Arabidopsis thaliana: one gene and its partner. The protein of the gene in region 2 purifies or fractionates together with the protein of the main gene of each other region. This does not show direct contact. Each region holds a gene or a part of one and is shown on either strand. Other genes may lie near its edges.

What was found. Proteins that work in one complex are often made in the same cells at the same time.
Region 1: the proteins of CDKB2;2 (region 2) and CAM6 purify together in Arabidopsis thaliana (affinity purification with western blotting, with the first as the bait; one study listed by BioGRID). This does not show direct contact.

The regions. Positions count from the first base shown.
Region 1 is NC_003076.8:7,213,974-7,219,042, forward strand, and holds CAM6 (calmodulin 6), read right to left. Parts: upstream 2,080-5,069; 5' UTR 1,978-2,079; coding exon 1,902-1,977; intron 1,141-1,901; coding exon 767-1,140; 3' UTR 501-766; downstream 1-500. Other genes in the region: CIPK26 (Ca2+regulated serine-threonine protein kinase family protein), read left to right, coding at 4,108-4,278, 4,365-4,427, 4,546-4,617, 4,813-4,920, 5,004-5,069. UniProt on the Arabidopsis thaliana protein: Calmodulin mediates the control of a large number of enzymes, ion channels and other proteins by Ca(2+). Among the enzymes to be stimulated by the calmodulin-Ca(2+) complex are a number of protein kinases and phosphatases.
Region 2 is NC_003070.9:7,290,816-7,296,331, forward strand, and holds CDKB2;2 (cyclin-dependent kinase B2;2), read right to left. Parts: upstream 3,932-5,516; 5' UTR 3,850-3,931; coding exon 3,617-3,849; intron 3,236-3,616; coding exon 3,094-3,235; intron 3,006-3,093; coding exon 2,944-3,005; intron 2,852-2,943; coding exon 2,740-2,851; intron 2,608-2,739; coding exon 2,514-2,607; intron 2,427-2,513; coding exon 2,357-2,426; intron 2,266-2,356; coding exon 2,127-2,265; intron 2,033-2,126; coding exon 1,937-2,032; 3' UTR 1,693-1,936; downstream 1-1,692. Other genes in the region: AT1G20925 (Auxin efflux carrier family protein), read left to right, coding at 16-95, 168-292, 367-488, 584-718, 795-887, 978-1,078, 1,158-1,210, 1,299-1,484 and 1 more; AT1G20940 (F-box family protein), read right to left, coding at 4,459-5,516.

The sequences.
Region 1 (5,069 bases), on a different chromosome or scaffold from region 2:
ATAGAATAAATTATAATAATTTGACCCGCGGGTGAATACGATGATCTGATGACCTATAAGGTAGTCCGGTTCGCTATCTGGATCGGGTTAACATTGACCCTATATAAACCAAGCATCCACCAACAAACTTAGTTGACTAAAGAGTCTCTGGACCTAGAGGTCAAGAGTCCAATTTTCGTTTGGGAGATGGTCACATTACATCTTTTGGTCTCTCTAGCATCAGGGAGTGTACGAAATTAGGTTTACAACCTCTTTGATCATTTAAAAAACTTTTAGACAACAATAGATTTAGAGGCTACTTACATTTGTTTCTAAAGAATTTCCAATTTTGATGATCCTAATGGAAAAAAGGTTTGAAGGTTAGGGACTTACGGTTTACAAACTAAGAAACAAAATGGTTTGTAAATTTTATTGATACATATAACTACTATATTTTTCATGTAAAATAACAATAACGTTGGCGATGTTGCAAAATCGTTTTCGTTGGTCAATTCTCTTACTGGTATTTTAAACGCGGCCAAATTTTAGGGCATTGCTTTAAGATAAACAACAACTAACAAAAATTTACAGAATAAAATCAGATGCCCAAAAAAGAGAGCAAAATATGAGTTCATACTTCACATAACACTAAAAGGCTTAACCAAACAAACAAGGGAAATAAGCAAAATGATGTCCTAAAGAACGCAACCAGAATCAAGTCATAATGTAACTTCACTGTAGAAATCATAAATCTTGTTTCTTTTTGTGGGCTTAAGATAAAATTCTCTCACTTAGCCATCATGACTTTGACGAATTCTTCATAGTTAATCTGACCATCGCCATCAACATCCGCTTCTCGGATCATCTCATCAACTTCCTCATCGGATAGCTTCTCACCGAGATTTGTCATGACATGTCGAAGCTCTGCTGCAGATATGAAACCATTCTGGTCTTTATCAAAAACCCTAAAAGCTTCCTTGAGCTCTTCCTCTGAATCAGTGTCCTTCATTTTCCTTGCCATCAGGTTCAGGAACTCCGGGAAATCAATGGTCCCGTTCCCATCTGCATCAACTTCATTGATCATGTCTTGAAGCTCAGCTTCTGTTGGGTTTTGCCCCAGAGACCTCATCACGGTTCCGAGCTCCTTGGTGGTGATACAACCTGCAACCAGATTCAGGTATAATAAGCTTTTAGAGACAGACTTATATCCACAGTCAACAAACAAAAGCCATTGTATTTCTTATTTCGACTGATGAAGATCTGGTAAGTAAAAAAGAGAATGATTTTTTTTCATTCAACAAAGTCCTACTAAGTTAACAAAGAAACTCCATTCATACAAACTAAAAATAATCACTCTTCCAAGTCCTACCTAAAGTGTTAGGGTAAAAGAAATATTCTGTGTTTATTCCGTCTTTCCTTATGTGTGTGTACTAGCAAATCTAGAATCATGTGTATTAAAAAGACACAATATTCTTCTCCAAATCTCTTTACATGGTATCAAAGCCAGAATCAAAACCCTAGCCACTTCGTTCTATTGAACCCACATCTCACCGTGCAAAGGCCAATAATGCACAACAGAATTTTGCAAGTTTTTCACCAATCAAAGCAGAATACATTCCTGATATCTACAACATCAATCCTTTTTTCAACAATTAAACTACTCAAAATCTCAACATATGGATAAATTTCCCAAAACATTTCATTGCTGCATCACGAGACTGAACCAGAACAAGAACAAAACACAGCGTGAGTCATGAATCGCTATCGAATTAGCCAAAAGCTAGATCGTTCACAAGTGAAACAAACACGAATCATACAGAAAACTGAAGAAGATCATAAATCTGTCAAACAAATTCCAGAACTCGTATACGGACGGAGTAATCATCGGGGAAAAAACGCAAAGATCTGGGAAAGAAACATACCATCACCATCCTTATCGAAGAGGCTAAAGGCTTCCTTGAACTCTGAGATCTGGTCATCGGTGAGCTGATCCGCCATTTTCCTTCTTACCTTTTTTTAGAAATCCCAGATTTTTTTTTTGCTACTGAATATATTATTTGCCTCTCTAATAATAATTCAGCAAGAGAGCTTATAAAAGAGAGAGAGCCCAACAACTTATGGTTGGGCCTCTAAAGATTTACTAGCTAATTCAGTAATTCTTATGATTTTTTTGTCTTTTTAGTTTAGTTTTTTAAGACAATTATAAAGAAAACTATAACCTTTGCAGTTAATTTAGACATATATACTAGGTAATAAATCTATCAAATTAACAATTATTAATTTTTTTTGACTATTTTCAAAACTGATTTAGTAGAATATTTTACAGTATATCAATTAAACTTTTGACATTATTTTTTTCATTTAAATATTTAATTATAAAAAGTTTTTAAACTAGGATAGATATTTAAGGATATTAATTAATTTGGAAAATTAAAAAAAAACTTATAATATGTTGAAAAAAATAATATATGGATACATATGAAATGATTAGAGTATCCTCTAAATTTACGTTACAGAAACGGATATGTATAAGCAAAAATTTTACATGAATACACTTTTTTGTAGAAATAGTTAAACTTGAATCGATTTTACATGTTTTGTTTTAATTTAAATGGATACTTAATAAAAAAGTTAGTCAATATCTCTACATTTTTTCCAAGTAAACTGTTTTTAAATTTTTTTAGTTTTTATATTAAAAACAAAAAGAGTGTTCGATCATTTATATGAGTCTTATTATTCCACACCTCTAGAATATATATGTACTCGCTACAAATGAGTCTAATGAGCTTTTGCCGTTGATGATTTGTTCAATGTTCTAATAATTGTCATCAGTCTATAACCATTGACACTACACAAAACGGTTGCAATGTATGACTTTTGTTGAACTTTGTAGTGACTAGTAAGTAAGTGAGAGTGAAGAAGCAACGGTTTTTCTTTCTTACAAAAAACTCATATATACTTCAGAGTTAAGACTTAAAAATATATAATAGTGGATAAAATCAGTTACAACTATTTTTTTTTTTAAATGGTCTGTAACAAAAACATAAGAATTCATCGATTACTTAGAAACAACTCAAATGAGAAAGAAAAAAAAACACCTATTGATTAGGTCCATATCTAGTCAAAATCTGAATACTCAAATATTTTGTCATTACATTAATTAACCCAAAATAATTGACCAAAAAAGGCAAAAAACATAATTTTATTTCTTAAGAAAATTGAGGAGCTTAACAAAGGAAAGAAACGTATAATTGTCCCATACGAAAAAAAAAAATTAAAAAACAAGTGTCCATTAAAGTGAGAGAGTCCCTACACGAAATTAAATAAGTTTTTGTCTGTTAGCTACAAATTTCTCTACAATCATCGTATCTCTTTCGTCGCATCTCTATCTCTTGTTGCTCCTTGTATTAGCCCATCATTTTTTTATTTCTCCTGCGAATTCTCCGCCATAGATTTTCTTTTGAATTTCTCCTGCTAACTCTTGAGCTCCCCAAAGGCGGCTACATCGGTTTTGTCACCTCTACTCGCTCACTTTTCTCCGTCCAATTTTGCAGGTTTGTTGGTCGATTCTCCATGTTTTTGCTTCGAATTCGATGAGTAATTCGGTAACTTAGAGAGTTGCTTACGCTTTTGGTTTATGTGTAAAGTGTGCATAATCTCTATATTATATGATGGTGATGATGATTAGTTCTGTAGCTAACTCGAGAATCTCGCTTCAATTGTGTATCAGTACAAATATTGGTTTAGTGGAGAATTTTGGATTTGTAGATGCTTGCTTGAACAATATATGATTTATCTAAGTCATGATTCTAGAGATTTAGGCTGTTTTTGGAGTAATTAAAAAGGATGATCGGAATTTCCGGAGAAAATCTCCGCTGCTAGATTTGTCATTGCCTTGTGGATTTTCAGCTGTTTTTACGCTTTGTCTTTATTGAATTCTGTGGCATATTACTGTTCTTTTCTTGACGGTTTCTTTCACTTTTTTTGCATTTAGTTTCCGTGAATTGAGCAAAGAAACACTATCTTGCCTGTTGTTGTGTTGGATTCTTTTCATGGAATCATTCTTATATGCGAGATTACATTTTCCAAAAACAGCTTTTGAAGATCAAGAGGTGAACATTCGGAGTGATGAATCGGCCAAAGGTTCAGCGTCGTGTTGGAAAGTATGAGGTTGGAAAGACGCTTGGACAAGGCACTTTTGCGAAAGTTCGGTGTGCTGTTAATACTGAGACAGGAGAACGCGTGGCTCTCAAAATACTTGATAAGGAGAAGGTTCTTAAGCATAAGATGGCTGAACAGGTAACTCTCTTTCCTAATAAGATAATATACTAGATGCATCTTCAGTCCAAAAGTATGATGTGTGTCTTTCCTGATTGTTTTTACAGATAAGGAGAGAAATTTGTACTATGAAGCTGATAAACCATCCAAATGTAGTGCGGCTGTATGAGGTATATCTCCATTTTTCTATTTGTGTCTCTATTTTTCTTTGGCTTGCTTTAGAGCTCTTTGTATGTGAAGCCAATGTGCTGAAGCTAACTTTTAAGGAAATGATTGATACCGTTCCAGGTTTTGGCGAGCAAGACTAAGATATATATTGTTCTAGAGTTCGGCACTGGTGGAGAGCTTTTTGACAAAATTGTGAGTTTTCCTTAATCCCTCCCAATGGATTTATAATTGTTACTTGATCCATCTATTGTTGTTTGAACATGTATGCTAAGCTCTGGTCAATCTTGATAGATGTTCCTGTTTCTTGCAATTGAAACGTTCTCTTATCTCTGATGTAGATTTAACCTTTGTAGATTTAACCTTTGCATTATGTGTAAACTTGTGAAGGTACATGATGGGCGCTTGAAAGAAGAGAATGCACGGAAATATTTTCAGCAGCTTATTAATGCAGTTGATTACTGCCATAGCAGGGGAGTGTACCACCGGGACTTAAAGGTATGATATTTTTTGGTTTATGCCCAAGTTTGCAGTATGTTTCTTTAATGTGCAGATAATTGATACTTACAATTTCACTGCAGCCGGAAAACTTGCTTCTAGATGCTCAAGGAAATCTGAAAGTCTCTGATTTTGGATTGAGTGCGTTG
Region 2 (5,516 bases):
TTTTGGTTTCTACAGATAGTTTTCTATGTGTTTAGTCCTTCTCTTGTTGCAAGCAGTTTATCTGAGACTATTACATACGAAAGCATGGTGAAAATGTAAGTGTTTTTTATTCAAAGAACTGATTCTTCTTGAAAATGAAATGTTGATTTTGTTGGGGTCATTTTCAGGTGGTTCATGCCACTTAATGTTTTGCTAACATTCATCATTGGTTCGTTTTTGGGTTGGATTGTTATCAAAATCACTAAACCTCCTTCGCATCTCCGTGGCATCATCGTTGGTTGTTGTGCTGCTGGTAACTTTAATATCATCTTACAAAAGCTGTTTTCATTTTCTTAGATTCAGTGATGAGATTGTGTAATCCAACAGGGAATTTGGGGAATATGCCACTCATTATCATCCCAGCTATATGTAATGAAAAGGGAAGTCCTTTTGGAGATCCTGAGTCTTGTGAGAAATTTGGACTTGGTTATATTGCACTCTCTATGGCGGTATGTCACCATTTCTTAACTACTTCTTATGCTTCTCTACTAAAGTTTTTTTTTAATGCCAATACAAGTCAAAAACGTTTTGTGATGTATATCAGATTGGAGCCATTTACATATGGACTTATGTATACAATCTTATGCGGATGCTAGCAAATCCTGCTGGAGAAACCGCAATAAACAGTACCTCGTCTACAATGCCACTGATTTCTCCCAAAGTCGAAGTTGCGGAACAGGTATTAGTCTAAACTTTTCCTTCTTATATTCTTGTTAGCCAACTTACTGATTTTGAGAGAATGTATATGTGACAAGGTTGGGACTTGGGGCAAGGTCAAACAAAGAGTGTGCTCTGTAGCAGAGAAAATCAATCTACGAACAATATTTGCTCCTTCAACTATTGCAGCGGTTTGTTTCAATGTTCCCTTGAACTAAACGACTGCTATCTAGCTTCTGTATGTTCTTACTAGTTAAGCAACTAATCCTCTTTCTCTTCAGCTTATCGCGCTTGCGGTTGGGTTAAATCCTTTACTACGGAAGCTACTAGTCGGTAACACAGCTCCACTTCGAGTGATTGAGGACTCAGTATCTCTATTGGGGTATTCTACAACATATTAAAAATCTCACTTGTCAGTGATAATTAACAATGCTTACTTGAGTAGCTTAATTTTCTTGAAGGGACGGGGCGATTCCTGTTCTGACTCTGATTGTTGGAGGAAACCTTCTCAATGGTAGATAAACAATAACAAATGGCTGCAGAAACTTTTTTTCCTAAGACAAAACCTTAAATCTCTGTTCTCTCTCTTATAATAATCACAGGTCTGAGAGGTTCAGGAATAAACAAGTCAGTCATAATGGGTGTGGTGGTTGTGCGTTACTTGTTGCTGCCAATATTAGGAGTTTTCATAGTACGAGGAGCGCATTACTTGGGTTTGGTTACATCCGAACCGCTTTACCAGTTTGTTCTTCTGCTTCAGTATGTCGTTCCCCCAGCGATGAATCTTGGTTCGTTCTTCAGACTCACAAAAATACTACCAAAACATGTCATCACACTGTCTTTCTCATAAACTCACTTGACCTTTTGGCAGGTACAATCACTCAACTATTCGGATCAGGAGAAAGTGAATGCTCTGTGATTCTATTCTGGAGTTATGCCTTGGCTTCAGTTTCTCTCACTGTCTGGCCAACATTCTTCATGTGGCTCGTAGCCTGAACATCCACACACACACACTTACACAAATGGGAAACAGTTGCAAATCTTGCTACTTTGAAATATTAGAGAAACTGATATATTCTTTCATTGATAAAAATGTTGGAAGGTTATACAATTGGGAATAGAGACCCAATCAAAAGGGAATATTGAAACTTCAATCATCCTAAGATAGCAGATAAATGCTTGAGACAAGCAAAGACAGAGATAGAACAAAATATCCTATTGAGAGTTTATAAAGAGAGCCTCAGAGAGAGGACTTGTCAGGCAAATCATCGAAGTAAGGATGCTCCATAGCTTTCTTTGCTGAGATTCGTTTTGCTGGCTCGTACTCCAGCATTTTCTGTGCACAAAGAGAAACACAAATTAGTCTCAGCAGAGTGATTATCTACTAATCAAGCAAGGTCTGAGAGGTGTGTTAGACACTAGAGACTTACAGATAAGAGATCAAGTCCAGCCTCGTCGAGGTTTGGCACAGCTGTGGAGAGACTCAACGGTTTCCATTGCGGGTATTCATGCCAGTCCTTGAGTTTGCTTACTCCAGGCCAAACTTCTTCGTTTGGTGTTCCCAACAACCTGAGTTTGACAGGAAAGAAAGAAACAGAACAACCAAGTTAGCGAATGTCATGTTTGTGTCTTAAAGGTAAAGATGAACACAAAGACTTACCTGAATATACGGAGGAGCTGTTGGAGCTCAGAGTCTCCCGCAAAGATTGCTTGCTTGGTCACTAGTTCAGCTACACATCAAAAAGGAAACAAAACTGTTAGTTCTTGCTAGTGACATTGAACTGAAACCAGTGAAACTGTAAGAGAAGATTTTGTACCAAAAATACAGCCAACAGACCACATATCCACTCCAGTAGAGTAATGGGTTGCTCCAAGAAGAACTTCCGGAGCTCTATACCATAGAGTTAGAATCTGTTGCAAATGAAATCATGGGGGTAAAATCATCCTGAGTTATAACTCCAGATAAACTAAGATAGAATTAAAAAAAAAAAAAAAAACTAGAATGAAACAGGACTAATGTTTCATCAACGTAGACTTATATACCTCATGTGTATACTTTTTCATTGGGAGAGTGAAGGCTCTGGCTAATCCAAGATCTGCTATTTTGAGCGTCATTGTCTTCCGGTCCATCAAGAGATTGTGAGGCTTAAGATCCCTGTAATGAAACCAAGACAAGTAGGATTAGAGATCTGTGTCAAAATGGGTTATCTCAAGTCATAGTTCTTCCAAAACAAAGACGATTTTTACCTGTGCAACACTCCATGACCATGGCAAAAAGCCATGCCTTTGCATAACTGGTACATCAAGCACTGCAATTCAAGAACATGTTTCTCTTAGCTTAAAGGGGCTTATCGGATGAGAGAAAAAAAGCAGAACAAAATCTCCAAATATCCAAACCTTGACAGTATTTTGTGGAATGTTCTGTCCAGCTTGACGAAAGCTTCTGATGAATTTCTTGAGATCAGTATCAACATACTCGAAAACAAGGTAAAGTACAGTTTTTCCTTCTTTGTTTATTCCTTGCTTAACATCCATCAACCTGTAGAAGAAGATAATCATCATAACAATAATCTCTCAGTAGAAATGCAATCACCACAAAAATAGTTGAAACTGAGATCACAACACAGAGCTTCTACTTTGACATTTTCTAGTATTCGGATAAGATAAGGAACCCATTTTATCTCGATCGGACCACACAACAAATAGCAAACTGAAACTAAGATCTACCAGTAACACCTAAGAGCGACACTAAGCGCGATTTGCAGGAAGAATCAGAGTCATCAAATCAATTGAGACATCAATTAATCGGGACTAAACCCTAGAAATCGAAATTGAGTCCTAAATCCACAATCAAAACCAGTAAATCGGAGAATTTCAGAAAGTGACTGAACCGAATCAGAAATGTAAAAGGAAATCGAACCTAACGATGTGAGGATCACGAGCGAGCATACGCAAGATAGAGATCTCGCGAAGAGTAGTGGGAGGAACACCTTCTTCATCCTCATGGAGACGCGTCTTCTTCAAAGCAACGATCATCCCAGTAGCTTTCTCTCTTGCTCTGTAAACTTTCCCATAAGTCCCTTCACCTACTTTCTCAAGCTTTTCAAAGGCTTCCATGGCGGAAACAGCGGGTTTAACTCCATTGTTGTCCATCTCTATCAATCTCTCAAGACAACTCTTCTTCTTCCTTCGCGAATCTCAGATTTTGTTTTCAATTTGGGGAAAGAGAGAGGAAATGTAATTAGATTCGAGAATTGGTTTAAATAGGAAGGAGATTATTAAAAAGGTATATTCCCTCTTTGAGCACTCATGTTTTTTCAACGGTTCTTTTTTTCTTTTTTCAAAATTCAAAACTGGAGCGTCGTCATTAGTTTTTTTTTTATGTTCTGTTTTTAAGTGTGACGTGGAAAAAGTGAATAACCAATGTTTGTCAACATCCGGAGACGGTTTAGCTACACGAAAGGAAAAAAAAAAGGGGAGAGTTTGTTTTTTGGTCAAAAGGTGTGAGTTTGTTGTTAGATTCGACAAAACACACAAGATGGGCCTTTATTGGGCAGGACGAAAAATTGACAAGCCAGAGAAGAACAAGTTCTTAAACAACATTGTCTTAAATGATTTTTTGTCCCAAAAGAAATAGTAATATACAACTAATTTTTAGATTTGAAATACATAAACCATAATAGTGCAATGATAAAAGCAAATGGGAAACAAACATTCTTATAAATCAGGACATTTTTTGTATAATCTATAGGCCCTAAATGTTTACTTGGTGGTATCAATGAGTCCCATAATCGAATTTATATAGGAGATGCGTCGGTCATTAGAAGCAACAAGCACCTTCTGTTGCTCATCCTCCTCTACAAAGAACAAGGAGGGCGTCAATTTATAGAAATCTCGGACGCAATTGGGCCAAGCAAGGGTTGACACCAAAACTCCCCAACTGTTAGCTTCCATGTCGTACACATGAAGAACACTTGCCAAAGGTTCTAAACCCATCTTTTTCACCCTCACCACAAGACACTTGCCATCGTACATAGCTATGTTCCAATATACAAGCGTTTCTTCCTCGATAGATATGTTCTTGATCCGCCTTGTGAGTGTCCATTTGTGATTCTCGACAAGTGTGTAAACGGAGATTGTTTCTATCGTCCCCGAAATTAGGGTCAGGCGATTGATCTTAACGCTTTCCGCGAAAAGTAGCTTCGTATCCGGTTCCCGATGAAATATGGAAGGAATCAAGCATGCTTGCTCTGTCTCGGGATTAAAAGACATGATGCTGCCATCGTTTCTCAGCCAGTGAAGAGTGTTGTCCAAGTAAACAGGTTTCATCCGCGTAGTGAGATCACTTTTTGAGCTAGTGGTGATACTCGTTTCCGATAATCTCCAAGAGTCTCCTTCGTTGATCTCGAATCCGTATACGTTTTCCATCTCGAGTATGCCCACGATCTTGAATCTCTTGGTTGTTAGATTTCGATTTACCGCAAATCCAACGCACATCGCTCGTTCCGTACAAGCAACATTACCTCCAGGATAACTAATTCCGCTAAGACCTTTAAGTCCACCATTAACTATCATTGGTATAAGCTTTGATCCAGAATGATCCAGGATTCGAAACCTTTTTGTTAAGGGATTTGCAACAAAGAGACAACCAATGTACAATAGGAGAAGACCAGAGCATGAGCCGAAAATGTAACAATCCGCACTACCATCAAACAGTTCTACTCCATTTCCCGGTGACATATAATCGCATGAAGAGACCAAAGGATGGCAACATACATAAGTAGCGCCATAGCTACCAAGGTTAAACAAACTAGGTCTGA